Mus musculus: one gene and its partners. Each later gene encodes a partner of the first gene's protein in a complex. Links are inferred from orthologs where the notes say so. Each region holds a gene or a part of one and is shown on either strand. Other genes may lie near its edges.

Region 1 (4,392 bases):
GAGTGAGTTCCAGGACAGCTAGAGCTACATAGTGAGACCCTGTCTAAAAACAAACAAAATAAAATATAAATAAATCCTTTTTTAAAAAAAAAGTGTAGTGATGGGAAGAGGAGAAAGACTGCAGGATTGGGGAGCAATTCAGGGCCTTCCCTGTACTGCCCTGGCCTCTCTGCTGCCCCCTGCTGAATTAGGCAGGCTCTACACTGAACCTCCAACTCCCATCCCTTCTGTCTACACTGCCAATTCACATCTTTCATCGCTTTGAAAATCCAGTTTAAAATATGCCAGCTCTCAGAGCCACTCAAAGCTGACCTTATTCTGTCTCAGGTTATACACTGTAATTACATACCTGGATCATACCACATCAAGTTGTACTGCCTTGAAACTTTGCAAAGGCAGCCAAAGACTATGTGAGTGAGCTGCCAAGATGGCTCAGCGAGCAAGAGCACTGACTGCTCTTCTGAAGGTACTGAGTTCAAATCCCAGCAACCACAAGGTGGCTCACAATCACGCATAATGAGATTTGATGCCCTCTTCTGGTGTGTCTGAAGACAGTAACAGTGTACTTAATAAATAAATCTTTGGACCTGAGCAAGCACGGCCGACCGGAGCAGAGGTCCTAAATTCAATTCCCAACAACCACATGAAGACTCACAACCATCTGTATAGCTACAGTGTATCCAGAGACTATGGGCACTGGGCACTGGATTCCCTAGGACTAGAGTCAAAAACTGTGAGCTGCCATATGGGCTCTGGGAATGAAACCCTGGCTTCTAGAAAACCAGCCAGTGTTCTCAACTGCTGAGCTGCTTCAGCCCCAACACTATTCTTTAATGAAGTAAGTGCTTCCCGTTATTGTGTACAATTCTTGTTTCCTAAGAAAGGTTCTCAGTCTCTAGCCTAGGCTGGCCTTGAACCCAAGTTTAGTTCCCAGTACCCATATCAGCAGAAAGCTCATAACTACCTGTGACTCTAGCTCCAGAGGATCTGATACCTCTAGCCTCCATAAGCACCCACACTTGTGTGCATATAGCCACACACAGGGGCACAAGTGCTTGTACACACACACATTTGAAAATAAAAACAAATCTTTAAACAAATAGATCAAACTGCAAACTGACCACCATAATATAAGATGGACCAAGAACGAATGAGGCCACAAACACATCCTGCCTCAGTCAGGACCGCTACCCTTGACAGAAAAGCAAGCAGATCCATTAACGTAAATACTCTAAGCCATGCTCCTCCCATCTGCTCTCAGCCATCTACTGACCTTGGCTGCCCAGGGTAGAGGCAGCTGTGTGGTAAGTCTCACAGTCCACACAAAATGTCCCTTGTTTCTCTGCTCCAAGCATCTCCAGTTTCTTGGTGAGGAGCTCCACTGTCTGCTGGAGACTCTTGCCCTCAGCCACAGGCATCTGGGACACACTGAGAAACACAACGCCAAGTCAGCAGGGTCCAGAGACACAGAGCTTCTGGCTAAGCCACTCAATTCCCCAACAGGTAACGGATCAGCAGGGCTAGGAGTTACTTAGACATCTCTGATCCCCACCCATCAGTCCCCAAGAGTTCCTGGAACTCACTTGGTAGACCAGGCTGGCCTGGAATTCACAGAAACTTGCCTGACTCTGCCTCCCAAATGTTGGAATCAAAGGCATCAGCCCTCAGATGGATTGCCTGACTCTTCCAAAGGCCCCAGGAAAGGCCCTGTCCTGTATCAACTTACTGCAAACAGGGAAACTGAACTCTAAATGACTCTGCTGTGATCTGTCTTCATTGCTCACAGGCATTCTTTACAGTAGGGTAGAAGTATGAGATGAGGCTCCTAGTGTCAACTGTGGCAAGAGCCTTCCTTTCACAGGGCAGACCTGTGGCCCCTGGCCTCCAAGCTTCTTTAACTGGAAAGAAGCACACCACTACCAAGACTTTTAAGTGCTGAGGCCGAGTACTTTAAAATTAATACCCAGAAAAGCACGGTGCCCAAACCTTACCAACTGCCTTTTTATCAAGTGAGACTTCAAACATGTTTAAGATAAAAGTCAATCAAAACTGTCTGAAGCCCAGGCGATGGTGGCTCGCGTCCGTTTCATCCGTGCGCTTGAGAGGCAGAGAGAGGCAGGTGGATCTCTGTGAATTCGAGTCCAGCCTGTTCTACAGAGTGAGTTCCGGGCCTCCCAAGCCTACACAGTGAGACACCCAGCTCGAAAAATTGTCTCTGCCTGGTACTCCGAACTCCAAACTCCCAACCGCTCCTTTCCTCCTACCTCTGTCACTAGCCCCAACACCTTAAAATGGCCAATTCAAAGTCTGTAACTGCAAGCAAAATAGAAAAGTCACTTTCTCCTCGCGCCACTCTTATCCCTTTCTGCGAACAACTCCTAATCTAGAAACCCTATTTCTAACCTTTGGGTGCTAGTAGCGACACTACAAGGCCTCAAGGACAGGAAGAGGTACCAAGAAAAAGGTACAACTCCTGGCGGGTCCTAGGGATGCGCTGCTCCCTTTGCCAAAGGGGTGTGTCTGGGAAGAGAGAAGTCCCACGCAGTGTCCCCCATCCACACAACCGGAAGACATCTTGGTCAGCCCCCCGAGGAACCGAGAACCTCGGTCAAAATCCCTTTCCCCGGGCCATCACAGGCCCACAGACACCTTCACGACCCTATATGCTCCGTCACCACAGAAGCCCTTCAAGTCCTACCACGTCACTCCCATAGCGAAGGATCAAAAGGTGGCGCCTCCAAACCCTCGAACTCAGAGACTCCAGACCTTCACGCGAACGGCGGCCCCCTAAACACAGGAAGCAGTCGTTGATCGACCGCCGGAAATGCGCAAATACTGAGCGCCGCGGCGACACGCCCACAGGGAGCGCCATCTCTGGTACCCAGTGGTGACATTTCTAGAACGTCATCGACTCGGCTCCGCCCCCAAGGCGTCCAACGGGTTGACAGGACGCCCTAGGCTACTTTCATGAATTCTGGAAAAGGGTGACTTGGACATCCACCTTTCTAATGAGATTACCTGAGAATTTGGGGGCTCCTGCTATAGGTCCCGAAGCTCTTCCTGAGAGTAATAGATGAGGAACTTCCGGCCTCCTAACGCTGGGGGGCACTGTGATCTCTCAGTGGCCTCTTGGCGATCGGAACACACAGCGCAAGCGCAGTATCGGCTTTTTAGCCGGCTTCACACGTGTGAACCTGGTGGGCAATTTTTTCGGCCAAAATGCCCAAATTCAAGGTGACACGTGGGGCCAGCAATCGGGAGAAGCATGCACCTCTGGCCGAGCAGATCCTGGCTGGGAACGCAGTGCGCGCGGGGACCCGAGAAAAACGGCGGGGGCGTGAGGTCGAAGAGGAGGAAGAGTATGTGGGACCCCGGCTAAGCAGACGGATTTTGCAGCAAGCCAGACAACAGCAGGAGGAGCTCGAAACTGACCATGGGGCTGGTGATCGGTCAGCACCACCGCGAGAGCGCGCCACGCGGCTGGGTGAGTGACAAGGGGTGGAGTCGTGAGTTGGGCCGGTCTGACACCCCATCAGAATACTTTACCGGCGTGTTCCTCCACTTCCACTCCTGAATTCCAGAATTCAGAGTTAAGCCAACGAAAAGTGATCTCTCACACCAGTTCTAGCATTATTTTATTTTAGGTTTTTTTCGAGACAGGGTTTCTCTGTATAGCCCTGGCTGTCCTGGAACTCACTTTGTAGACCAGGCTGGCCTCGAACTCATAAAGCTGCCTGCCTCTGCCTCCCAAGTAAAGGCGGGTACCACCACCACCTGGTGGTCTAGCATTTATTTATTTATCCTCTGGGCGTTTGAAGTATTTGTGGACTGCCTGCATAATGTTTTGAGCTGTGTTAAGTTTTTAGGCAGTTTTGATACAGAAATAAGATATTCGTTCCTCCTGATAACACCGGAAGTCTAGCTCAAGGCACCCATTAAATAGAGTTACATATTCCAAGCAGGAGTGGCGAGGCTCACCTGTAATCCCAGCACTCGAGAAGCAAGGCAGAAGACCTTCTTGGCTATATAGTAAATTTCAGATTAACGAGCCCTGTCTCTCAAGAGAGAGGAAAAAAGTGATGATATTTCTATTTAAACAAAAAAGCAGATGAACATTAATTCTACATGGTGGGTATCCCAGATTTCATGTCCTTCGAATAAGACCTGAAAAGCAAGTGGGGACTGTCCCTGTCCCAGCGACAGGGGAGGGGAAACAGTATTGTTTACGGGCTAAAAGGGGGAAGAGGGGTGGGTACTGCCACCTGTCTCACTGGGGAGGAATTGTTGTTCACCTCCCAGTTGCTTAATCTTCCATTCTTATTTCTCCTAAAAAGCAATATTGACACATTTGAACATGGTTTTGGGCCTACAGCAGCTTTTTCTGTTTCTTTT
Region 2 (4,470 bases), on another chromosome or scaffold:
AAACTCTGCCAAAAAACACCAAACTAAGAGCCAATGTTGATGGAGGACCTTGTTTATTTTGCTTATCTGGTGAGATTAAGTGTATCTTCAAAATGGGCTGCTTTCCAACTTGGAACCTGAGCTCCAAACACATGCCAGGAAGAGAGTGTATTTGAGAAGTATTTGTTCGTGTTCATTCTATTGGTGTAATGCAAAGCCTTCTGTCATGTGCAGAATCAAGAAACCAGCCATGATAAATTTATTTTCTGGGTGGGTGGGAGAAAAGGGCAGGGTCTTACTTACGTAGTCCTTGCTAATCTGGAACTCACTGTGCAGACCAAGCTGGCCTGGAACTCCAGTGAGCCTCCTGCCTCCCAAGCGTTGGAATTAAATGCCTGGTTCCTCACCTCCCCCAGTACCCCCCCCCCGAAGTATGACAAATTTAAAATTAACAGGTGTTGAGCAGCTCTCAGAAGTACATGTGGTTTTCATTACCTGTTTCCCTTCCGTTTCATGTCTGGATTTTTAAGGTTACAACACTACACGAAGTTATTTCTCCCGAGGCCACTTTCGTATAGTGCACTAAACTCGGAGCCCGCCCTCCATCTGTCCAGTTGTAGGGGTCACCGAAGGACGGAGGACCGCAGCCTTTATACTTGACTTCCTTCGTTTCTTGGTTTGACTTAAAACTCCAGGTGACCTTGGTGCTTCCCTTCCTCCCCCGTGAGGCGTTCCTGTTTTCCATCACCTGAGATGCAAAGGCGGGGTCGCTCCGTCCCCTCGGAACGCCAAGGGGAAGATGCTGGGCGACGGTTCCGCATCCTGCTGTTCAGACACAGGCTGGCCACCTCCAGCCCCCCCCGCCCCCCCCCCGCCTCTAGGAAGGCGACAAAAGCGGTGCTTCCTCTTGAGTTCCAGCCCCGCACGGATGCAGACCCGAGGTGTCAGCGTCGCGCAGGCCTTGCAGACTTGCGTCCTCTGCAGAGGTGGCAGCTCCCAGACGTGACCTTAGGTCCCCGCAGCACGCGGGTCACATGGGGACACGCACTGCCCTGCAGACCCGCGCCTGGGGCCTCTGCAGCGGAGAAGGCTGTGCGGAGCTCCTCCGAGCTCCTCGAGGCACGAGTCTAAACGCAGGGAACCGCTGCCTTCCTCAGATTACCTATGGCCGCTCCAATCCTCTGGTTTCTAAACGCAGGAGGCCCTCATCCGGGGGAGGGTCTTTCCATTCCGCAACCCCAAAGCAGTCAGAAGATAGAGTCGGTGTTCCAGGACTTGAAGGGTGCGCTTCCGTTAGGAAGCCCATCCCTCCAGTCCCGAGTGGGCGTGGCCTTCAGATAGCGTCCGTTGCCACGCCCAACTGCCTCCCAACGGCCCTCTGTGTCGGACCTCGGAACCAGGCGGCAGGACCTGCTAATTGCGCCTGCGCGCGCGTGCGCACAATCAATAGGAGGGGCTCACGAGCCGGACCCTCCCAAACCCGGCGTCTCCACCCGCCCCATCTCCCAACCTCCTCAGCGTGGCGCCGACGCTGCGTGCGGCGCGGGTTACCCAGAGTGCTCAGCGCGGGGGGCAGCTCACTGGAGTTTGGTTCTCGAGGCGGCGGCGGCGGTGGTGGCGGAGGCTCCTCCGTCGGCTCCTCCTCCTCGCTCGGCGGTGGCGGCGGTGGTCCGGGGCCTGAGCTCCGGTCCCCTCCGCTTCCCTCCGTCCTCGCCATCTCCCCGAGCGCCTTGACCTCCTCCGGCGCCGCGGGGAACATGCGGCTCCGTTCCCGGAGGCCGGCGAGTGACTGACCCGCGTTCCCCCTCCTCAGCCTGCCCGCCCGCCGGCCCGGCCGCTCCCCCCCGCTTCGCCCAGGCAATGACAGCGGCTCCGGCGTCTCCGCAGCAGATGAGGGACCGGCTGCTACAGGCCATCGACTCCCAGAGCAACGTAAGTGACTGCCTCGCGATCGGGGACCGAGGCCGCATGTGTCGAGACCCTCCCCCTCCGACGCGCCCCCGGCTAGGGGCTCTCTCCAGGCGGTGATCTGCCCGCCACAGCCACTGCCATCTCGGTCTCTCTTTCTCCTGGGTCCGGGGACCGCAGGCAAGGCGGATTGCCCGGCAGCTGAGGGTACCTGAGGCCGAGGCTTCACGCGGCCTGGACTGAGGGAGCGTTTGGAGCTTTGATCAGAGCTAGTTCTTCTCCGTTGTCCCAGCCCGACCGCCCTTGGTGGTCCCCACCGTGCCTCCTTGCCTCACCTCAACCCTGGGAACTGAGAACCCCCCGGGAAGGTCTCCCTGCCGGGGGCAAGGTGGGAAGCAACTAGTGTCTCCGCGATGACTAGAGTAGCCCGCGTCTCCGGAGTCTTGGCCTTTACTCCCCTTCGGTCTCCTGGCTGAACCTCCTTCTTGGCTAGGAGGGAACCCTAGGCCCGTTCTGCCCCCAGTCTGTCTACCTGTGATGCCTGGAGAGTCTCCTCTTTTTTCTGATAGTGGACAAACCTTTCCTGGGGTCTTTCTAGAAAAGACGACCCTGCAGAGAGTGGGATCCTTCCTGTCATCTTTCTTGGCCTAAATGCTCCATTGCGCATCTGACCAGAAGCTAAAGCATGGGATTTTGGTACTGAGTTACTGCCCGTCATAGTTGATTGTTCTCTTATTCCTACCTTCCGGTCCTCTTTCCATCTCTCTCTTGCCCCTCCTGAGGTGCTTTGGGCCCTAGCCTGTCAAGATTTAATTGTAAGGGGTTACTTTATGTCACACTTTCCTCTGCTAAGAGTCCTGTGAGCAGAGGGACATCTTTTTCTTCCTGTGTGAGCATAGACTAATTTCACCTGTTCTTGTATTTTTCCCAAAGGTTTGTTGGCAGTGTAGGGGGCGGGTATCCTTGTTGCTGTTAGGAGCAGGGCCATGGGAAGATGCACAGGCATTCAGATATGAGGTGTTTGCTGGGAGACCAGGAAGTGGCCTTTGAGATCACTTTTTAATATGCTCGGGATGGAAGAAAAATCATCTTGGGCTTGGACAGGTAACCGAGGTTTGAGTCTTTTGAGTTCCCTTGACTATGCTTGACCAGTTACTCTTAGCAATGTACAATGTACACTGTATTGTGGTGTGTTCAGAATAATTCACATTGTTTGTGTGGTCTTGGTAGAAATAGAGGTGCTCTAGTTTCTATGAGATCTGCTTGCTGGATCCAAAATTATTTTCTTCTTGGTCTTTAAGATCACCTTGATAGTAATTTAGTAAATACTGTAGACATTTTCTCGAGGTAGAATAGGGACAGGCTAGATAAAAATCTTCTAGAAAGCCTTTTTAAATTTTTTTCTTTTTTCTTTTTTTGGTTTAAGGTTTTGTTGGGTTTTTTGTTGTTGTTTTGTTTGCCAGTGATTGGTATTACTGACTGTAATCACATGATTGATATATTAGGATATTAAAAGGTAAAAACAAGAGATAGGAAAACATAGCCTTGATGGCTTTTGCATCTTTGCTGAAGCCATAGTGTACACAGTATAATTTTTTGATGTTGTTTTTCAAGAAGGATTCCTCTTCTATGTAGCTTTGACTATCCTTGAACTTGCTCTTTAGACTAGGTTGGCCTCAGAGATTCTCCTGCCTCTTCTTCCAGATTAAACGATTGCACCACCACTGCTCATCTCTTCCACAGTGGAAATTTTAACTCCTGTGTAACTCCTTTGCTTGAGATCTTATCAGAGATCCTGACTGCTTGTATGTGAGAGTGTTGGGACCAGCAAGCGCTTTGACAGGTAATCATGATGCTATAGATCAGGTGGGTCCAAGTGTTAGGTAAGGTCTGACTAGAAGACCCTTTGTGGGTAAAAGAAGGAAGGTAGACAGCCCAAATTTTAGGTTTTTGTTTTGTTTTTTTCTGAGACAGTCACTGGAAGTCACTATGTATGTAAACCAGTGTAGTCTCACAGAGAATCTGTCTGCTTCTACCTCCCAAATGCTGGAATTAAAGGTATATGCCACCATGCCTGGCCCAAACATTAGTTTCTTGAATTTTCCCTTGGTCATAAGTATTACTATGCTCTTTGGCCTGTGGGTAAGTTGCTTGGAGTGTATATCTCAAAGGGAGACCTTATTGTGGTGGATGGAGTTGAGAACTTGTCTCTGAGTGAGGAGGGAAGTGTTTCCCAAAATGCACTGTCAGTGACCACCCACAAAAACAACTAGGTATATGTGCCAGGGGCTGGCTTTGCAGAATCTCTTTGTAGAATCAGCCTGGAGCACTGTCCTCCATTTCTTGCTGTGGTATTGAAGGGTCCCTGGACATTTGCACTGTTTCCGTGATTGCTCAGGGCCCAGGTAAGAGCTGCATGTTTGTGCAGGGATCTGTGCTTTGCTCTGCCCAGTTATAAGCTCCACCACTTGCTAATTGACACATATTTAGGATGTTCATGGAAAAAATACAAAACGAGGACAGAGTTGAAGAGTGAACACTAAAATTAACCCTCTTCAGAGAGAAGTGACAGAGAATGGTGTC
Region 3 (4,558 bases), on another chromosome or scaffold:
CTGTTACCTCCAAGAGGACACAGATAAAAAGAAAAAGAAACAAACCTACAAACAGGTTAGAGCTACAAGGAGGTGTATTTGAGCACAATATAAGGAAGAGCTCCCTCGCCTCTGGCTATCAATGGAGTAAGCTGCCTCTAACAGAGGGACTATGCTCCCAGGAAGCCTCCAACCAGAGTGGAGATAATCACCTTTCAGCAGCTTGGCTGGAGAGACTGAACTTGAAGTTGGCTCAGGCTTTCCATCTCCGGTCTGAAAATTTGCTAGCATGTAACATTTTATATCTTCTAATATAACTTCAAGTCTATCATTTGGATTCCTAAAGGAATCTATAATTGCATCATGAAGAGCAAATCTACAGGCAGCAAATCAAGTCAGGAAGGTAACGAGGATAAAAAGAAATTTTTGAAATGTTTTACTCTCATTTTTAAAATTAGAGTCTCTGCCGGGCAGTGGTGGCGCACACCTTTAGTCCCAGCACTTGGGAGGCAGAGGTAAGCATATTTCTGAGTTCAAGGCCAGCCTGGTCTACAAAGTGAGTTCCAGGACAGTCAGGGCTACACAGAGAAACCCTGTCTCGAAAAACAAAACAAAACAAAACAAAACAAAAAAGAGTCTCTCTGTGTGGACCTGATTGGCCTGAAATTTGCTACATAACCAGGCTGGCCTCAAACTCATAGAGATCTACCTGACTCTGTTTCTTGAGAGCTGGGATTAAAGGGATGCCAGGCTAAACTTCTGGTTTTTCTGTTGTCTCCTCCTTTGAGAGGCACATCTAGACAGGGCTTACCTGTGTAGAGCTTGCTGCCCTGGAAGTAGCTCTGTAGACTAAGCTGGCCTTGAATTCATGTGCCCACCTCTGCCTCCCAAATGTTGGGATTAAAGGTGTGTGCCAGCTTCTTCTTCTTCTTTTTTTTTTTTTAAGTCAAAGCTATTGAGTTTGATAGTGTCCGTGTTTGTTCTTTTACAGTGAGTTAATGTGTACAATACATTTAGCACAGTGCTCGAAACAAAGAACACTCACTATAAAGAAGGGCAGTACCTCTAAAACTCCCAGAAAACAATACTTCCTACCTTCCTAGATTATAGTTTGGTAGGCATTAAAAATCCAGAAAGACAAGGGCAGTGCTAAGTGACAAGGTTAGACACCAAATTACATTAGAACTATAGTCTGAAACCAGTTGACTGGATCTTAGCTAGCCTGCATGAACAGAAGTGGTGTGTTCTGGCTTATATTACTTAGAGAGTAAGCTGGCTCCCATGAAGACAGTTGTTTGGTTCTGTTTGAAGGGAGTGAGGTAAGAATGGTAGCAGAAATAAATGCAATTCCTAAAATAATCTAAGTTACAGATGACAGTATCTTACATTAACTAAAAGCAGAAAGATTCAAAATATCATTTTCCATTCCCACACAGAGAAAACTGCTCAGTATCAGCACTTTGTATTTATGATAAAGTATACACAGATTTAGGATTATAAAAATTAAACTTACTTTAGATATTTGGCATATTCTGGTTCTTTCCAGTAAAGCAAATACTTAAGATAATTAACAAAAGCTTTGTCTTTGAAGTAACCTCTTTGGGCAAGAACTGAAAGACACAAAGAAACAATCCGTATGTCAACCAACCGCTGGACTACTGATTAGTAATCTCTAAAACAAAGTAGCTCTTAACATCCCTACCAACAGAACACAAGGAATTAAAAACACAAGCCTTTGTTTGCCCAGTTAACTTACAGACCAGAACAAATAAAATCCCATTCAAACACATCGAAGTAATAAATAGTATTACAAACTGCATCTCTTCTCAGAAATTAAGAGCTAGTTGCTTAAGTTAGTGATGTACTTAACTTACAATTAAGGTAGTTTGGGTTGGCTAAACATTGCACAAATTCCAACTCCAACTGAAACCGAAGCCGATTTCCAGCATCATCTAGGAGAAAAGACAAATATCAAAGTGCAGAAGAGACTTTCTTAGAAATTAAAGATATATGTATATGCGTGTGTGTATATATGTGTGTGTGTGTGTGTGTATATATATATATATATATATATATATATATATATATTCACTAAGTAATGAGGCCCTGTTTCCAAAACAAAAATAGTAAAACAAAAAATAGTAAAGAAATCCTTTAAAGTTAATTGAGGAAAAAATAAGTTGAATGGGAATTTACCACCTGCAGGCCACTTTGTTAGCGGAGATCACTGGACAGTCTGTAATAGCTGTGCGGTTCCCTAAGTTGTTATAACCACAACTATCAACTGTGATTACGTTAAGCAAAATCAATGTGCTACACAAAACCGAAGCATGATGCAAAGTGATTAAACAATGGAGAGAAGGCGGTGTCCGCATTAGAATACACAGGTTATCGATATTTCGGGCAAGTTCTTGGGAGTACCTTCAGCACAGACAGTGGAAGGTCTCAGTCCTCTCCCACGGCCCTGCACGGCCCCAAGAGCCAGGGTTGGAGTAGGGGTTTGAGCAACCCAGGAGCAAAGATGTTTTCACAGACCATAGTCTGAGAAGCAGCACAGCCTTCTCCTCCGCCGGTCCCAACTCTAAGGATGCCAAGTTGAACCCGAAAGACAGCGCAGGAAAAGGGAAAAGGGAGGGAATTTCGGGGCGTAGGACCATTCCCTTGGGGTGAAGACTCGGGGTGCAAGTCACAACGTACCTGTCTCCATAGCGACGGCCGCGGCCATAACAATCAGAGTGAGGCGAACACCACCAGCCCCGACCGAACCGCGACTTCGATTGGTGAGAATCCGGAAGCCACGGCTCCTACTTCCGGTCGCGGGGCAGAGTGGGACACGAGGGCGGGGACAACCTCACTTATGGGAAAATTAGCCCCACCTATCTGTGCAGACCCGGCCGGCTGCGCGCGCAGATATCGAGCGGGGCGTGCCGGAGGACTTCTCATTTTTTAGGTCTCAGAGTCCTGCTACCTACCCCGACGTAATACACCACCCTGACGTCACCTTTCCCTGTGTGACGTGACGCAGAGCATGATCCTTGGGCCTCTTTGTCCCACCTGACCAAGGTGTATGGGCAGGATGGCCTCGCCCCTTAGGAGCAAGTCCTCCGCCCCGCGAGTGGAAAGCACCCGCCACAAGGAGACATCGACTGTCCGCGTGGAGACGTCGTCCCACCGCGAGGAAACGTCATCCCACCGCGTGGAGACGTCCTCCCGGCAGGTTCGAACGTCTTCCCGGCAGGTGGAGACCTCCCAGCGCCACCGAGAGGGGCCCTCCCTCACCCCCTCCACGAAGCGACTCCCTCAGTTCCTTGAGGTGTCCTCCCAGCACGTGGAAACCTCCTCGCAGTGCACGGAAACGTCCTCCCGCCACGTCAGGGCGTCGTCATCCCTGAGGGTGGAGACTACTGTGCACCGTGTTGAGAGCCCAGCCAGGCAGAGTGCCAGAATGGCTCGATGAAGTGCCAAAGGTCCTTAGCCAGGACTGAAGAGTTGCCAGCCAGCCATCTTCCAGGAGAACCGAGCATCTTTGGTTTCATGGAAAGAACCCATAAATCAGTGTAAGAAACAGGCTGTGGTTTCTGGGGGCTGTTAACATGTATTGACATTGCAGCACCTTAGACCATCCTGTTGTTGACCCCAGTGTGCTATTAACTTGAAGCCAGCACAGAAGGTTTCAGACTGGTAGTGCAGTATAAACCTGGCTGATGGACAATGAGATTCTTTGAGTCTCTACACCAGGTAAGTTTTATAGTCTTAGGTCACTCTAGGATGTGTTGACGACTTGAAATTTGCAAAGAGGGGCCAAACTTGTCATGATTCTTGACCGCTGGCCTGATCATATACCTGCTTGAAACCTACAGGGCAAGGTATCATCTTTCATACATTATTAATTGGCCTTTATTAATACTTATATTTCATTATACATTTTCTCATGTTGTCATACATAGTATTCCACCCACACTTAAAAAATTAAATCAGGGGGTATAGGAAAAAACAGGACAATTAATAAACAATCAATAAAACCATTAATAATCTTGGAAGGGAAAGTAAAGAAGAAGCCATGACACTTGGCCTGAGGCGTGAGATTGACAGGATGGTAACTGAGTATTACTGCATGCTAGGTAGTAGTTAGAGCATGGCAGCTAGAGCAGTGGAAAAGACTAGGATCTTCCTCTAATGAAGAGACATGCAACAAAGGGGAAAGTAAGACAACATGCTGTTGTATTCCCGCGAAGGAAAGGCTGTCTGTCTTGTGGTAGAGAGTAGGGAACTCTTTAGAGAATATGGTCAGGGAAAGCCTTGCTGATTACATTTGGTCCGAGATTTGTGTGAGTGGACAGTGAGCCATATCAGGATCTAGAGGGAAGTGCATTCTAGACAGAAGGGAAAGTCTACATTTTTTTTAAAAATCAAAGATGTTTATGTAAGAGAAAGATCAGTTAGTATATGAGAGCGTGGTATAAGGAAGAAAACAAAAAGGAGGAAGATGCCACTTCATATAGAGTCTTGGAAATCTTCTGGGATTACAGTAAAGAGCTTGAATTTTATTCTGAGATCATCAAAAGAATTTAGTGCAAGG
Region 4 (2,951 bases), on another chromosome or scaffold:
GATCCTGGGTAAGACTCCTATAAAAAAGAAAGTGGACTGAAAGTTTTCCTGGCAGAAAAAGAAAAAAAAAGAAAAAGAAAAAGAGAAGGAGAAGGAGAAAAAGTATCTGACTTTTCAAATCTAAGACTATGAGCCTTTTGTCTTTCTTCTCTGTGTAGCCTTGGCTGTCTTGGAACTTGCACTGTAGACCACAGGTCTGCCTGCCTCTGCCTCCTGAGTGCCAGGACTAATGTTAATGGCATGCACCACCAGCACATGGCCCTTTTCTTGCCTGAACATGTCTGTGTACTGAGTGTGTGCCTGGTGCCTGTGTACTTCAAAAGAGAGCATCCAATCACCTAGAACTGGACTCCTACGGAAGGTTGTCAGCACTCAAGGATGTGTTGGAATTAAGCCTGGTCCTCTCTGCAGGAGCAGCCAGTGCTCTTTAGCAGCTAAGCCACCTCTCCATCACCAGCTACTTGAATGTTTTTGATTACATTTGTGTGTGGGTGTGCACACATGTGGGTGCAGGACTCAACCAATCCTGTGGAGAAACAGGACGGCAACAGGCAGGAGTCGGTTCTTTCTTTCTCCCATGTGGGTCCTGGAGAGGCCCCCACAGCATACACAATAACAACAATAGTAAGACAGAACTATAGCAATATAGAAGTAGACTAGGAAGGAGTTAAGACGAGTAAGAATCAGAATCACAACTGAGTCTTTTCAGTCTTTATTACCACACAATGCTGGCTCACACCACCATTGTAAACCTTGTATATCAATGGCAAAACAACACAATTTAAAACATATGAAGAAAACAACAAATAAATAAAGGAATAAAAAATGTTTCTCTAAAAAAAACAAAAAAAAAACAAAAAAAAAAAAACAAACAGCCGGGCTTGCGTGTTATCGCACGCCTTTAATTCCAGTACTCGGGAGGCAGAGGCAGGTGGATTTCTGAGTTTGAGGCCAGCCTGGTCTACAAAGTGAGTTCCAGGGCAGCCAAAGCAACACAGAGAAACCCTGTCTTGTATTGAAAAACAAAACAAACAAACAAACAAACAAACAAACAAAAAACAAAAAAAAAAAACAAAAAAGAAAAGAAAAGAAGAGAAAAAAGAAAAAAAAAGCAAAATATTATGAGTTGTTTTTTGACCTTTCCTCTGAAAAGCTAATTTATTCCAGTTCCCTCTTTTTGAGTGGAGGGAGGACTTGAACAAATCTCCATATTATCCTGGGTCTTTCATTGGAAAAGCCTATCAAGAAGATGAACAGTCAGGTTTAATAAGGACCTTGCAGGCACTTAGGCGGGAAGTACAGGGTCCTGAGTTCCAGGGTAGCTAGTTTATGTAGTGAATTCCATGGTAAAACCCTGTTGCAAGAAAAAAGAGACATTACCAAGTGAAGGAAACAGTTGAAAGGAACCAGGTCTCGCCATCATCTTCTGGAAGGAAGTGGGCCCGGCTGGCAGCAGTACCTGGGCTACTTTCGAAGTCTCTCACCTCCCAGGTGGGGACAGGCCTAAAAGGCCGACAAACTTTCTTCATCACATCAGCCTTTTGGGGTCTATTTTTTCCAGGTGAACCAGAGGTTTGAGCTGCTCTGCAAAGTTCCTCATGTCATCAGAGACCATGTCCTGCCCAGCCGGGGCGACAACACTTAATTCCACAAGATAGGAGAGGGACAGGGCCTCGGTGCTGTCCGTGTTCCCTGGGACCAGGATTCGGAAAATCTTGTACACCACAACCTTCATGATGCCCTTCCGAAACAGGTGTCCTTTGGCGACAAACTCATGGTCCATGCGGAAGCCCATCTCCATCAGGAAGTCCGTGAGGTTCTCAGACGTGGCGATGTCCACACAGTTGCGCACCAGGGCGTGGCGGTTCTTGTCTCCCATTTCGGGCTGTCCCAGGTATCGCAGATGCCAGGGTGCCCCTGCCCTGTCCATGGAGCGCCGGGCCCTTAGGACGAACGGGCTGGCCTGCTGGCCCTTAAGCAGGAAGACCATCTCGTGATCAAGGAAGGTCTCAGGCTCCATGTTGTCACACAAACCTCGGAGGCGATGGATGAGGCTTTCCAAACTGTGGTCCAAAACACTTCCTGAAGAGGCACAAGCACAGTGAGTCCCGGCTTTCATTTCATTTAGGGTCATGAAACCAGCGAAAGATACACACACCAAATAAATAGTTCTATGCAACGTTTTCTAAGAACAATCCATGGGATTCTATTTATTTGTCTATTCAAAACGTTTTATATTTAGTCATTCTTGTCTCGGCAAACTCGAGAATACAATGGCACATAAATGTTGGTTGGAGGATAACCCGCTAGAACGGATTCCCTGTGGGTCCCAGATTGAACCCAGGTTGTCTGACTTAGCAGCAAATGCCGGGTAGTGGTTTGCATGACAGTAGCCCCCACAGCTCCTGGATTTGAATGTCTAGTCTCTACTTCCTATTGTTTAGGGAAGGACTAGGAGGAACGTCCTTGTTGGAGGAGGTGTGTCAGTGGGAGTTTTCAAAAGCGGGCCCCCATCTTTCTGTCAGTGGCTCAGGCTGTAGCTCTCAGCTACTGCTCCAGCACCTGCCTGCCTTAATGGGATGAAAGGGGTGTTATCACCATGCCCGGCTTCTTGTTCTGAAGTATAATTATATGAAAAAGAAAATCTGAATTTGTTCTACAAATGGAAAAATTGCATTGGCTATAAATAAATCATTGTGGCTGGGTGTAGATCTGTGAGAGACCATGTGCTCCAGATGCAAGGCCTTGCTGGGGTTTGATCAAGGCACCAAGAGGACCAAGGCTGAGGGATGGAGCTTAACGGCTGAGGACTGACACAGAAGGCTCGGGGTTCAATTCCTAGCACTATAAAATAATAAAATTAAACAACAACAAAGATTAAATAAGATTAAACAGTTATTTAACTGAGCCAGGCATGCAGGCACTCAGGAGTCTGAGGCAATAGAGTCGCT
Region 5 (3,257 bases), on another chromosome or scaffold:
CTATTTCAGAATGTTAACGGGTACTCAAGAGTAGATGGCCAGGTTCACTTTGTGGTTTATGCTGTTTCTTAAATGTTCTGTGATAGTTATTATATAACTATCTAAAACTGATACTTATATAAACATCGTGGACACAGATGTTAACTACGAGGTAGCTAAAGAGTTAAAAGTGACTGTTTTTTGAGAAACTACAGTAAGAGGCCAAGGCAGGTGGCTGCAAGTCCCAGACTAACCTAGGTACCTTATACAAGCAGGGAGACCCAGTCCTGTAAAAGATGAGAAAAGTCACAAGGAGACAAGGTGATGGCATGAGATGGCCATCTATTCTAACTTTCCTTATCCTGTGTGTATGTGTCTGTGTAGTATGGGGTTGTAATAAATGTTTTCAGTTTCAACTTAATGATCTCAGAGACTTAATTGTGACTATGAGTTAAGATAGTCATTTTATTGTATATACTGTATCATATATACCAGAATCTTATTTTATTATAAAATACATCTGGATTTTTTTTCCCCAGACAGGGTTTCTCTGTACTCCTAGAACTTGCTTTGTAGACAAAGTTGGCCCCAAACTCAGATCTGCCTACCTACCTCTGCCTCCTGAGTGCTGGATTAAAGGCATGTGCCACCACTGCCCAGCTCAAATTCAACTGGATTTAAATGTTTCCTTCCTACACTGAAGGTGTACCTAAATTTTAAAAATATTTTTTAAAAAATTGAAAAAAATTAAATACAAACAAAACCAAGTTTATTTACACAAATTACAGTATTTACCACATATATATATTGAGTTGTTCAAGTGAGCACTTCTGAAGTATCACACAGCGCTCCGATGCCTGTTCTTATCTCTGTTACCCTGGTGGCTCAGCTCATTCTGTAGCTCAAGGCGGCCCGACACTCACAGCAATCCCTCAGCCTCCCAGGTGCTGGGACTATAGGTGTGAGCCACCACGTCTGGCTCAGTGCTCTTTCTAAGTATGCTCCATGAGTTGTGTGAGTTCCTCTTCAGTCTCATGCCAGGGCTGCTATGTACAACCAAACACTACAGTAATTCTGACTAATCCTCAAACATTGTGTAACAGATAGAAAACCAGGGGCTCGGGCTCTAGGAAGAAAACCCGCTGATTTTCATGGGCTCCTTAGGTCTGTGCTTTTCTTTCCCCCTTGACAGAACTCTGCCGCACTGGAGTCTGTGCATGCCACACCTTTCTCAGTCAGAGTCGCTACTGCTGCTCGAAGAGTCTGTTGACATAACCTCAACATCATCTTCATTTTCTTTGTTGTGCCCAGGAGGCTCCAACAGAAAGTCACTGCTGTGATTTGGTGGCAGCATGTTCACAGACATGTCATTTGACTGCCATGGGTACTGCGGAGCAAGGACATCTGGAGAAAAGAGGCACATGGGATTAGTCCTACTTGTGATCAGCCTACTCAAATCCCCTCCCTCTATGCAAGTACCTTAATTCTATCTACCCACCCACCTACCTTGTAGTACCAAGGATCTAACAAGGTTAGGGATTCGCAATGCTAAACACAAATAAGCAGATTCCCAAATCCACACTTTAACACAGTGTGGCCCATGGCTACAATGGGCTTCAGAAAGCACAGTCCCCACTATGTCCTCTCCTTAGGAAGGTTCTTCCACATTAAAACACAGCACCTACAAAATGTGCTTATTCTATTTGGGGGCATGCCTCTCAACTGCAAAAATGCTCTTCAGAGTGGTCACGACAGGGGAAGGCCAGGCCTGGGGAGGGTGCCAGGAAATAGATGCACATGAGGGACATAGGGGCTTAGGTCAGTGTCCTGTGCATCACTGCAGGGTCTTTGGATGACAAACTGGCAGGGAACCTGTGTAACAGATCTTGATGTCCACTACCAGACAGTGCCTCACGGGCACCTCTGTCTGCTTAAAAACACCCATCCAGTTGGCATTACCTGGCAGTCTACCTGCTGCAAGGGCATCTCCCGGGAGGTGACCATTCACACCACTGGTGGAAGGATTGTTCATCTGACCCAACAATCCACTTCTCATCTCTAAATCGGTTGGGTATGGCCTCCGAGGGTCTCCTAAAACAGTAAAGACAGCTTTTAACTCAGGCTTTCAAAAAGCATTTATATGTTCTTGAAGAATGAGCTGCCCTTAGTTCACACTAAAAGACGCAAGTGCTTTGTGAGCCTCAAGCCTGCAGTCCTGCCTCGGCCTCTTCAGTACCTGCCTTTGCAGTATATACTGCCACACACTGCCTGAAGCTACAGTGGAAATCCTTAAGCTGGGCACGGTGGCACGTACCTTTAAGGCAGAGTGAGGCAGAACTCTGACTTCTCTTCCCAGGCCAGCCTGGTCTACAAAATGAGTCCCCGGACAGCCAGGGCTACACAGTAAGGGTAGAAGGGTAGAAGAGGGTAACACCTGACATTCCTTCCAACACTGAAGAAAATGCCTTTGTTAGCAGATGTTACTCTAGATGAGTACATTCTACGTTAAATGATCTTATTTAGATACCTCAGTCCTTTCAAACCTGCATTCATCTGATGTAAGAAGCTCTGTTACCTGGAACCCAAGTCAGTGGAGCACAGACAGCATTGCTTGCACTAATCCTGTGCGCATATTTAATGATTTCTTCAGAGGAGATAGCACCTGAGTTGAGAAAATAGAACAGTTCAGATCATTAAACACAAGTTTAGAAGAGCATACATACACACACCATATTTAATTTCAAACTATCAGGAAATAGGATCATCTAAGCTGTCCATCTCCCAAACACCTGCACATACACAAAAACTGTTATAAATACATTTCTGAACCTTGGAACCAAGATACCCACCCAGCAAAGTCGGCTAACGTAAATTTAAGGCCAGCGTGATAATGCTCAGTCATCTCGATTACTAGCCGCCATCAAGTGCAGAGTCTTCTGAATGCCACAGTGAGGGACAGTAAACCAAGGGGAGCGCTTTTCATTCCAGCAGCATCCAAGCTGCTGACCCTACAGTCTGCAGCCTCTGTGTGACTCCCAAGGAAGAGGCTCTAGCAGATTGTGCGCCAGACAGTCATAGCTTTCCATTCTATAAATTTTAGACCTGTTTCAAAAAGCACTAAGGAGTTCTAACCACCCCTGAGCAATGGACTCAGCCTCCTCTCCTAGAGACTTGCTTCTGCTACAGAAGCCCACCCGTCTCTCAGAGAATATGAGCTGTTTTCCTGAATGTAACAATCAGAAAATAGACTCCATACTGGCAAGCAGAGAACAAATCAG
Region 6 (3,431 bases), on another chromosome or scaffold:
TTATGCCAATTAAAAGATTCATTTTTAAAATACTCTGATAGTACTATTAATTTCTGAAGTTCTTTATTCTGTGGAGCAATTTTATAAAACAGACATTCCTGATTATAAAACACAAATGTAGAAAAATTAAAATCCAGAAAACTAAAAGTTGGTTTTATGTTTTTATTCTTCTGTAGCTTGAGGCCCTCATACATAACAAGCAGTCTGGAAGTTAGTGTCCATATACATTCAACGATTTAAGTTAGAGTACGATTTCACTATTATTACAGGTATCACTCAACATAGAGATTACAATTTCTTCTGAACAAATTTCCTACAAAATTAAATCTGACATATAAAATTCCATTTCTACTCTTTAGGAAAATCCAAAGTGTCTTTCAAAAAAAAAAAAGGAAAAAGGAAAAAAAAAACCTGTTGTCCAATGGCATAATAAAATCATATGGTAATGATAACAAACCTTTATACATCAAAAATATGGTAATTTATTTGAAAAATGCTGAATATTAAAATAAAAATAACTAAAGCTGAAAGTACCAGTAACTGTGACAATAGGAGATTGCCTTATCTTGTCCAGCATCATCTTGCAGCTTCAGGCCCTGCCATTAGTGGAGAGTCACTCAGGGAGCTTCTGTAAGACATGCATCCAAAGGTAGCTGTTTCAATGACTGCCTTAAGCAGCTCCTACTAACAGTTAGCATCACTCTCTTCTCAACTCGACACCACTGTAACCAGCAGTGTCTAAAACTGCAGCCTAGTGTTGTATATCCTCTCTAAGGACCAGCTATGCTTACAGCATTACTTCCCTTCTCTCCGTCCTCGCTTTGAATGATCTGATACATAGAGAGGGCAGAGAGCCACTCACCTAAGTGAACAGATCCACTTAAAACAACAAAAACATCTTAGCACAGGAGGTTCCTCTTAGGTAAAATTATCATAACTGTGTGCTATGGATCATAGGATCACTCAGAAGCCAAAATTTATTATCTTTAGCATATCATGTCATCAAAAATTTTCAAAATGCTTACTGAAACGTATGAAATAAGAGAATAATCATTACTGAAGGGAGAGGAATGACAAAGAGGCAAATGGAAAGAATTACTTTACGCTTTTTATCTCTGTATTTCAAATGTTTGTTTAATTCAGTTCAATTTAAGTACAGAATGTGGCTATATGTTGAGGGATACCTGTAATAGACCTCCATTGCATTAAAAAAAGTTACTAGACAGAAGAATTTATCTAAAAACTGAGACATTCTCAATTTATCAAGACAGAAATTGCATAAAGGGAAATAAAACATTAAATTAAATTAAATTAAATCAGTAAGTCTAAAATGTACCTGTTTGGAGGTGGTTTTGGTTTCGGCATCTTACTAAGAATAGTTGCCATCTCTTTTCTCTCATCAAAATTCTTCCACTGCTCATACAGTTTTAAAATAACCCTGATTATTTCCAAAATCTAGAAGAAAATATTTGAAAAGCTCTCAGTAGCAAAAACTAGCAACGTATCAGTATGTAAAGAACAGATATCATGCAGGGCAATGAGGACCCATGCCTCAATGCCAGCACCTGGGAGAAGGAGGCAGGTGGATTTCTATGCATCAGAGCCCAGCATGATCTACATAGCAAGGTCCAGGCAAGAAAGAGCTATACAGTGAGACCACGTCTTCAAAAAAGAAGAGTACCTTCTCCATATCCACAGAAAGTTCTGCAAACCACTGTCTAGCATCTTTCTGTTGTACGACACAGGCTACATGTAGGCAAGCTAGAAAGAAAATTACAGACAACTGTTCAAATTTAACTGTAAACATAGACTTAGAACTAAAGATTTTCATAAAGATTGTCTTATTTTCTAATACTATTTTTAAAAAATGTAGCAACAATATTGACACACACACTGTATTATAAAAAAAAGAAATCTCTAGCTACAGGATGCCTTGAGGGCAAATTTGTTACAAGAGAAACAACTCCAACCGAGAAATTAGGACAGGAAAAATCACCTATGCATACACGTGTAAAGTAGTCAAATCCCACCCAGAAGTCAGTGACAGAAAACCAAGTCCAACCCAACCAATGCACTGCTAAGTCTTAAAAATGTTCGTTAAGGGTACAGAAGTCTTTGAACTCACAGGTCACTAGGGTAACCAGGAATGTCAACCATACAGGATGTCTCCCTAAGGAGGAAATAAAATTCCTGCATTCCATCCAGAAAGCTGGGAGTGGCTATTGTTAAGGACCTAGAGCCGTGTTTGCTCTCTGTGGAGGCGGACCTCACGCAGATCCTCCAGTGTCCACCCCAGATCCTCCCTCCTTGAATCCCTAGCTGTAGATCCCAGTTAATAGAACCCATCCTTAGAGGATATAATCTAAATTTTTAAAAAGTGAATTTTTACGTAGGTGTTTATTAACCTTCGCACTACCGTCACATTTGGTTAGTCAAGCTTCAAAGACTGTCTTGTGTGATCTGGGTTCAATTCCCACCCACATTAAAAACCACAAACTAACTAAAACAAAGCTGGGAAGGAAGAAGGCTGGAGAGATGGCTTAATAGGCTGAGAGCACTGGTTGTTCTTCCAGTATTCAGTTCAATTCTCAGCACCCATATGATGAATGAACCAACTGTTACTGCAGTAATGGGGATCCAATGCACTCTTGTGGCCTCTGCAGGCACTTCATAATGGCCACACATAATGCATGGACACACATGCAAGCAAAACATTCACACACATAAAAGAAAACTCTTGGGCATGATAGCACACACGTAACCTGTGGGTCACTGGTCAGTCAGCCTTGTCTAATAAATGAGCTGTAGTTCTCAGTGAGATACCCTGTTTCAAAAAGGTAGATGGCTCCTGCAGAATGACAAGGGTTGACCTCTAGCCTCTACCATGTGTACCCCGCCTTCACATGCACATACTCTCACACAACACACCCACACCCTCCCCCCACACACACTTACATTAATGTTTCAACACATAAAAGACTATATATAAAAGCCACTGATCTCAGTAAGACTACCTGAGAGGAACACATACCACACGGTGGCAAAAACATGCCATACATCCTGCTATTTCTTCCTATCCATACAAACCCAGCATCTTTTCTCACTGAACATACATAATACTTTAGAGTCCTACCAAGTTCAGCAATTTACAAGAGTCACCAATGAGGGGCTAGAAAGATGGCTCAGAGGTTAAGAGCACCACTGGCTGCTCTTCCAGAGGACCTGGATTCAATTCCCAGCACCCACATGGTGGATCACAACTATCTGTAATTCCAGTTGCAGGGGATCCAATGCCCTCATTCATACATACATGCAGGCAGGCAAAACAACAATGCATATGAATAAAAAGAAACAAAACATTAAAAAAAGGCACTAATGCCACAGAAGTGTTAAGTTTAATTTATATCAACCTCTAGTATAAGGTTGAAAAC
Region 7 (4,254 bases), on another chromosome or scaffold:
AGGGTGGTGAGGCTCCGAAGAAGCCCCAGAGCTGAAGCAGCCGACAACCTTGCCCTCCAGTCCCCAGCCTGCAGAGAGGACTAAAACGGAGTGGGACTCTGCCCTTCCCAAACCCTGAATGTTCAGCCACACCTTGGAAGGCTCCTTCGAAGGGGGTGCAGCCAAGCTGAAGCCACCAGGGCGGGGAATCTCACTCTTCGTGTAGCTGTCTGGTGGGTGTTCCCAACCCATCCCACCCCTGCTCTCTGCACCCCCTCCCCACTTCCTCCCCCTGAGCCTCCCTCGGGCACCTGTTACTTCTGGAGCCGAGTAATCCAGGAGGTTCCCCACCCTGTGGCTGAGAACTGGACTGTGACAAGGTCTGTGTGTGTGAGAGAGAGAGAGTGAATGAGAGCGAACACGTTTGCTGGGTGTGACCATGCTACCACTCAATAAAGTTGCCCTGTGTGTGTGTGGGGGGGGGGGGGAGTAGCCCAAGAGAGACCAAGGGATTTGAATGTAACAGCATAAAGTCATCTGTGATGCAGCTCATGTTACCTGTTACAGTTTAGTAGAGTAACAAAGAATAAACCCAGGGGTGGTGGCGCACACCTTTAATCCCAGCTCTTAGAAGCAGAGGCAGATGGATCTGTCAGTTTGAGGCCAACCTGATCTACATAGTGAGTTTCAGGACATCCAGAGCTACACAGAGACAGCTTGGAGACAGGGTTTCTCTATAGCATTGCAACATCATAAACAAACAAACAAACAAACAAACAAACAAAAACAGTACCTTGTCCATGCTAGGCAAGCACACTACTAACAGAGCTCCATCCCTATCTCTGGGTAAGTGTACCTTAAATTTCTGTCTCGATGCCTATGATATCACATATGTGATATAATAAACAGAAGTGCTGGGTAGTGTTCAGCTCTGTTGCACCAATGCCAAATATCCTTCAGGTTTTTTGTGGTGCCGGGGATCAAATCCAGGGCCTTGTCCCTGCTAAGCAAACACTTTACCAATGAACTGTATCTGCAGCCCTCACTTTCAGTAGTGGATAACTTATAATTTGTCCAGCCCAGCCTGTGTAGAATTATAATTTCCTCTCTCTGCTCTTCATTCTCATTCATCTGTGTGGCTAACTTCTACTCACCATAGAGACCTTGGTTTAAACATCACTTCCTTTAGAAAGCCTTCTGTGATTGCTCAGGCAGGACTAGGCATCACTTCCATATCCTCTCTTCATTTCTATACTCTGCCCTAATCATACCATAAACCCCATCGCTCAACGATTAGCGATAGTCTGCATTGCCTTCAACTTCCCTTGTGTACTGGGATCAAATCCCCAGGACTTACCATTGTGTGACAAACATTAACATTTGCAAACACCCAGAGAGGGATTATAATAGCTCAAAGGTAGAACACTTGCCTAGCATCTGCAGGTCCTAGGTTTGATTATCAACACCCACCCACCCCCAAATCAATTGTGGGAGGCGGTAGCAGAAAAATCAGGAATTCAAGTCCATTCTGGGCTACATAAAACACTGTCTCAAAAACAGAAACAAGGATCTGGCAAAGAGGCTCAGCAGGTGAAGGTGTTTGGCGTGCTAATATGAGTTCAAATCCCCAGAAAGGTGGGAAGAACTCTACAAACTCTACAAAAGTATCGTTTTTGTTTTTTTTTTGGTTTTTCCAGACAGGATTTCTCTGTATAGTCCTGGCTGTCCTGGAACTCACGTTGTAGACCAGGTTGGCCTCGAACTCAGAAATCCGCCTGCACCTGCCTCCCCAGTGCTGGGATTAAAGGCGTGTGCCACCACGCCTGGCTACAAAAGTATCTTACCTCCACAAGCATTCTGCGATGTGCATGCCCTCCCCGCCCATAAGTACATGTAGTTTTTTTTTTAAGTTTTACTTGTAAATGTATATGGAGAGAGTAAATAAATGTAATATTCATTCATTACAACAAATGGAGTGTTATTTTTGCAATAAATTAAGCCTAAATGGACAACTGTCAGTTCTCCAGGTGTTTCACCTCCAAAAGCCAAGAGTCGGGAATCTTTACCTGGGAACTAATGGCGTACTTCAGGTACGACAGGATCAGAGGATTGGGGGAAGGCCCAATCATAGCCTGCTCCAGGAGCGCTTCTGCAAGGAAAATTAAAGTAAGGCTGAGTGTTTACAGCTTTTCTGAGGACACCCCTCCCATCCTTCTTTGCCCATTTTACTTGAGACCTGCTAGGTTGAGAATGTCCCAGGTGGCTCCTTTGGGGAAGAATTTTTTCATGTTGATTGCCCATTGGTAGTCACTCCATCGCTCTTTCCAGGCTTGCAAAATGGCCTGCTTCAGGTTCACCACCTTCATGATGTCACTCCAAGGAGGCGAGATGAGTGACAAGGTGGGAGTTTAAAAACGGAGCCAGATGAGAACTGGAGTTCTGAGGGAAAGAACAAGGGAGACATAAATAGAACGGAAATTCGAGAAGGTTTAAGCAAAACAAACAAACAAACAGAAAAATAAACAGAGAGGAAAAAAACTAGGCAGAGTAGAAGGCGTCAAGTTAGCGGCTCTGTCACCTTCTCGGTTTCTGAACAACCGTTTCTCGAATTGGGACAGAAAGTGTCAACAAAGCCCTGAAGCGAGCAGGAAAGGGTTAAGCCCGCTCCGGTTGTCTAATTATGCCCTTCGCTCTAGCTGCGTTCCTCACCACTTCCACCCCAAACCCAGATCTACCCTCTCCCCATTGCCTCTACCTTCCTCGGCCCTGAAGTTGTAATTCCTTCTTTTCCTACATCTACCATCTCCCCAAATTTAAGCCTACCATACAAACCGGTTGTACATCGTAGGCAGCGCCATCTTGACACCTACTAAGGAAATCATTTACCATTGGCCGGCGGCAACACACACCAACCAATAGAAACGTAGCAAGAGGCGAGTCCTGCCACAATACCTTCTGGGAATTGTAGTTCTTTGTCTAAGACTTGTCTAAGCTGCCAAACAGGCAGAAGGATTAATCTAATTGGTTCTGGTGGTTTTTATCTGAGATAATCCGAAGAGCTGAGGTACGCTGGTACCCAGAGTCTCAGGGTCTATGGAGAAACCAACTCTCTGTCTCCCAGTGATGTTGCCATCTATCCCTACCTTCAATCATTCTGATACTGTGGCTATTTCCCAGAAACGAGGCATAACAGTGAATTCTAGCCTGGCTTCTGTTTTGGCTTCTAACCTGGCTTCTATTTGGGTTTTGGCCTTTGTTCTCGAAAGCCCCTGTAGGCACTAGAGCTCTCATTTTCATATTTCTATTCCAAAAGAGACACTGAAGTGTGGGTAGCAGCACACATACCATCATTTTAACCCCAAATCTGACAATTCTCCCAGAATTCACTGATCCTGAATACTGTTTGGATACAAAAGGAAATAAGGAGAAAACAGAAGCTGAGCATGGCACCACGCCCTTAGTGCCAGCACTCAGAAGGCAGAGGCAGCTGGGTCTCTGAGTTTAAGCCTGGTCTACAGAGTGAGTTCCAGGACAGCCAGGAGGACTACACAGAGAAACTCTGTCTAAAAAACACAAAACACAAAAACAAAAACAAAGAAACAAAACAAACAAACAAACAAAACAGAGGAAATATGGGTTAAGATTATTGGGTGTCTCAAAAACTGTTTAAGAAGGCCTCGGGGGCTGGTGAGATGGCTCAGTGGGTAAGAGCACCCGACTGCTCTTCCGAAGGTCCGAAGTTCAAATCCCAGCAACCACATGGTGGCTCACAACCATCCGTAATGAGATCTGACTCCCTCTTCTGGAGTGTCTGAAGACAGCTACAGTGTCCTTACATATAATAATAAATAAATCTAAAAAAAAAAAAAAAAAAGAAGGCCTCGGGATCAAATGTGGTATTGTGGCTAAGACCATTCTGCACATTTGGAGGCAGAGCTTTATCACCCCTCTTTTTCTTGGCTCCCAATCTCATATCCCAAGGAGATAGGTCAGCCTGTTTCTTCAAATTCTGTCTATATTCCCCAACCCATTCCTCTTCTGTCCCACATTCCTCTTTGTACAGCTATGAAAGCACTCTACACTGAACTACAGCCCCCTCCCTGAGCTACCTTTTGACTGAGAATCAGGATAAATATTGAGAAAACAGTCCACATGGGCTCTAAAACTGGCCTTGTAGACATGTAGGAGACTAATAGGATCCTGGGTACCTGGAGCACGCTATGAACAGGGAGAGTATAGCTGGAGTACGGCCAAATCACATCCTTCTAAGATGGG

Evidence for each region.
Region 2: Med20 (region 1) and Med26 share a complex: the UniProt entries of both Homo sapiens proteins name them as parts of the mediator complex. The link is inferred for Mus musculus from reciprocal best matches to the Homo sapiens genes MED20 and MED26.
Region 3: Med20 (region 1) and Med31 share a complex: the UniProt entries of both Homo sapiens proteins name them as parts of the mediator complex. The link is inferred for Mus musculus from reciprocal best matches to the Homo sapiens genes MED20 and MED31.
Region 4: Med20 (region 1) and Med18 share a complex: the UniProt entries of both Homo sapiens proteins name them as parts of the mediator complex. The link is inferred for Mus musculus from reciprocal best matches to the Homo sapiens genes MED20 and MED18.
Region 5: Med20 (region 1) and Med4 share a complex: the UniProt entries of both Homo sapiens proteins name them as parts of the mediator complex. The link is inferred for Mus musculus from reciprocal best matches to the Homo sapiens genes MED20 and MED4.
Region 6: Med20 (region 1) and Ccnc share a complex: the UniProt entries of both Homo sapiens proteins name them as parts of the mediator complex. The link is inferred for Mus musculus from reciprocal best matches to the Homo sapiens genes MED20 and CCNC.
Region 7: Med20 (region 1) and Med24 share a complex: the UniProt entries of both Homo sapiens proteins name them as parts of the mediator complex. The link is inferred for Mus musculus from reciprocal best matches to the Homo sapiens genes MED20 and MED24.

What each region holds. Positions count from the first base shown.
Region 1 is NC_000083.6:47,609,999-47,614,390, reverse strand, and holds the start of Med20 (mediator of RNA polymerase II transcription subunit 20), read right to left. Parts: upstream 2,807-4,392; 5' UTR 2,713-2,806; coding exon 2,699-2,712; intron 1,429-2,698; coding exon 1,274-1,428; intron 1-1,273. Other genes in the region: Gm20517 (predicted gene 20517), read right to left, coding at 1,274-1,428, 2,699-2,712; Bysl (bystin), read left to right, coding at 3,220-3,484. UniProt on the Homo sapiens protein: Component of the Mediator complex, a coactivator involved in the regulated transcription of nearly all RNA polymerase II-dependent genes.
Region 2 is NC_000074.6:72,545,336-72,549,805, reverse strand, and holds the start of Med26 (mediator of RNA polymerase II transcription subunit 26), read left to right. Parts: upstream 1-1,495; 5' UTR 1,496-1,839; coding exon 1,840-1,911; intron 1,912-3,591; exon of another isoform or gene 3,592-3,730; intron 3,731-4,470. UniProt on the Homo sapiens protein: Component of the Mediator complex, a coactivator involved in the regulated transcription of nearly all RNA polymerase II-dependent genes.
Region 3 is NC_000077.6:72,212,285-72,216,842, forward strand, and holds the start of Med31 (mediator of RNA polymerase II transcription subunit 31), read right to left. Parts: upstream 3,047-4,558; 5' UTR 2,705-3,046; coding exon 2,677-2,704; intron 1,932-2,676; coding exon 1,854-1,931; intron 1,590-1,853; coding exon 1,493-1,589; intron 1-1,492. Other genes in the region: 4930563E22Rik (uncharacterized protein C17orf100 homolog), read left to right, coding at 3,047-3,436. UniProt on the Homo sapiens protein: Component of the Mediator complex, a coactivator involved in the regulated transcription of nearly all RNA polymerase II-dependent genes.
Region 4 is NC_000070.6:132,458,032-132,460,982, forward strand, and holds the end of Med18 (mediator of RNA polymerase II transcription subunit 18), read right to left. Parts: intron 2,083-2,951; coding exon 1,529-2,082; 3' UTR 698-1,528; downstream 1-697. UniProt on the Homo sapiens protein: Component of the Mediator complex, a coactivator involved in the regulated transcription of nearly all RNA polymerase II-dependent genes.
Region 5 is NC_000080.6:73,516,020-73,519,276, reverse strand, and holds the end of Med4 (mediator of RNA polymerase II transcription subunit 4), read right to left. Parts: intron 2,642-3,257; coding exon 2,555-2,641; intron 2,071-2,554; coding exon 1,939-2,070; intron 1,384-1,938; coding exon 1,211-1,383; 3' UTR 732-1,210; downstream 1-731. UniProt on the Homo sapiens protein: Component of the Mediator complex, a coactivator involved in the regulated transcription of nearly all RNA polymerase II-dependent genes.
Region 6 is NC_000070.6:21,744,680-21,748,110, reverse strand, and holds part of Ccnc (cyclin-C), read right to left. Parts: intron 1,762-3,431; coding exon 1,682-1,761; intron 1,456-1,681; coding exon 1,337-1,455; intron 629-1,336; coding exon of another isoform or gene 577-628; exon of another isoform or gene 149-576; intron 1-148. UniProt on the Homo sapiens protein: Component of the Mediator complex, a coactivator involved in regulated gene transcription of nearly all RNA polymerase II-dependent genes.
Region 7 is NC_000077.6:98,726,570-98,730,823, forward strand, and holds the start of Med24 (mediator of RNA polymerase II transcription subunit 24), read right to left. Parts: upstream 2,851-4,254; 5' UTR 2,803-2,850; exon of another isoform or gene 2,735-2,802; intron 2,419-2,734; 5' UTR 2,346-2,418; coding exon 2,216-2,345; intron 2,129-2,215; coding exon 2,046-2,128; intron 448-2,045; exon of another isoform or gene 1-447. UniProt on the Homo sapiens protein: Component of the Mediator complex, a coactivator involved in the regulated transcription of nearly all RNA polymerase II-dependent genes.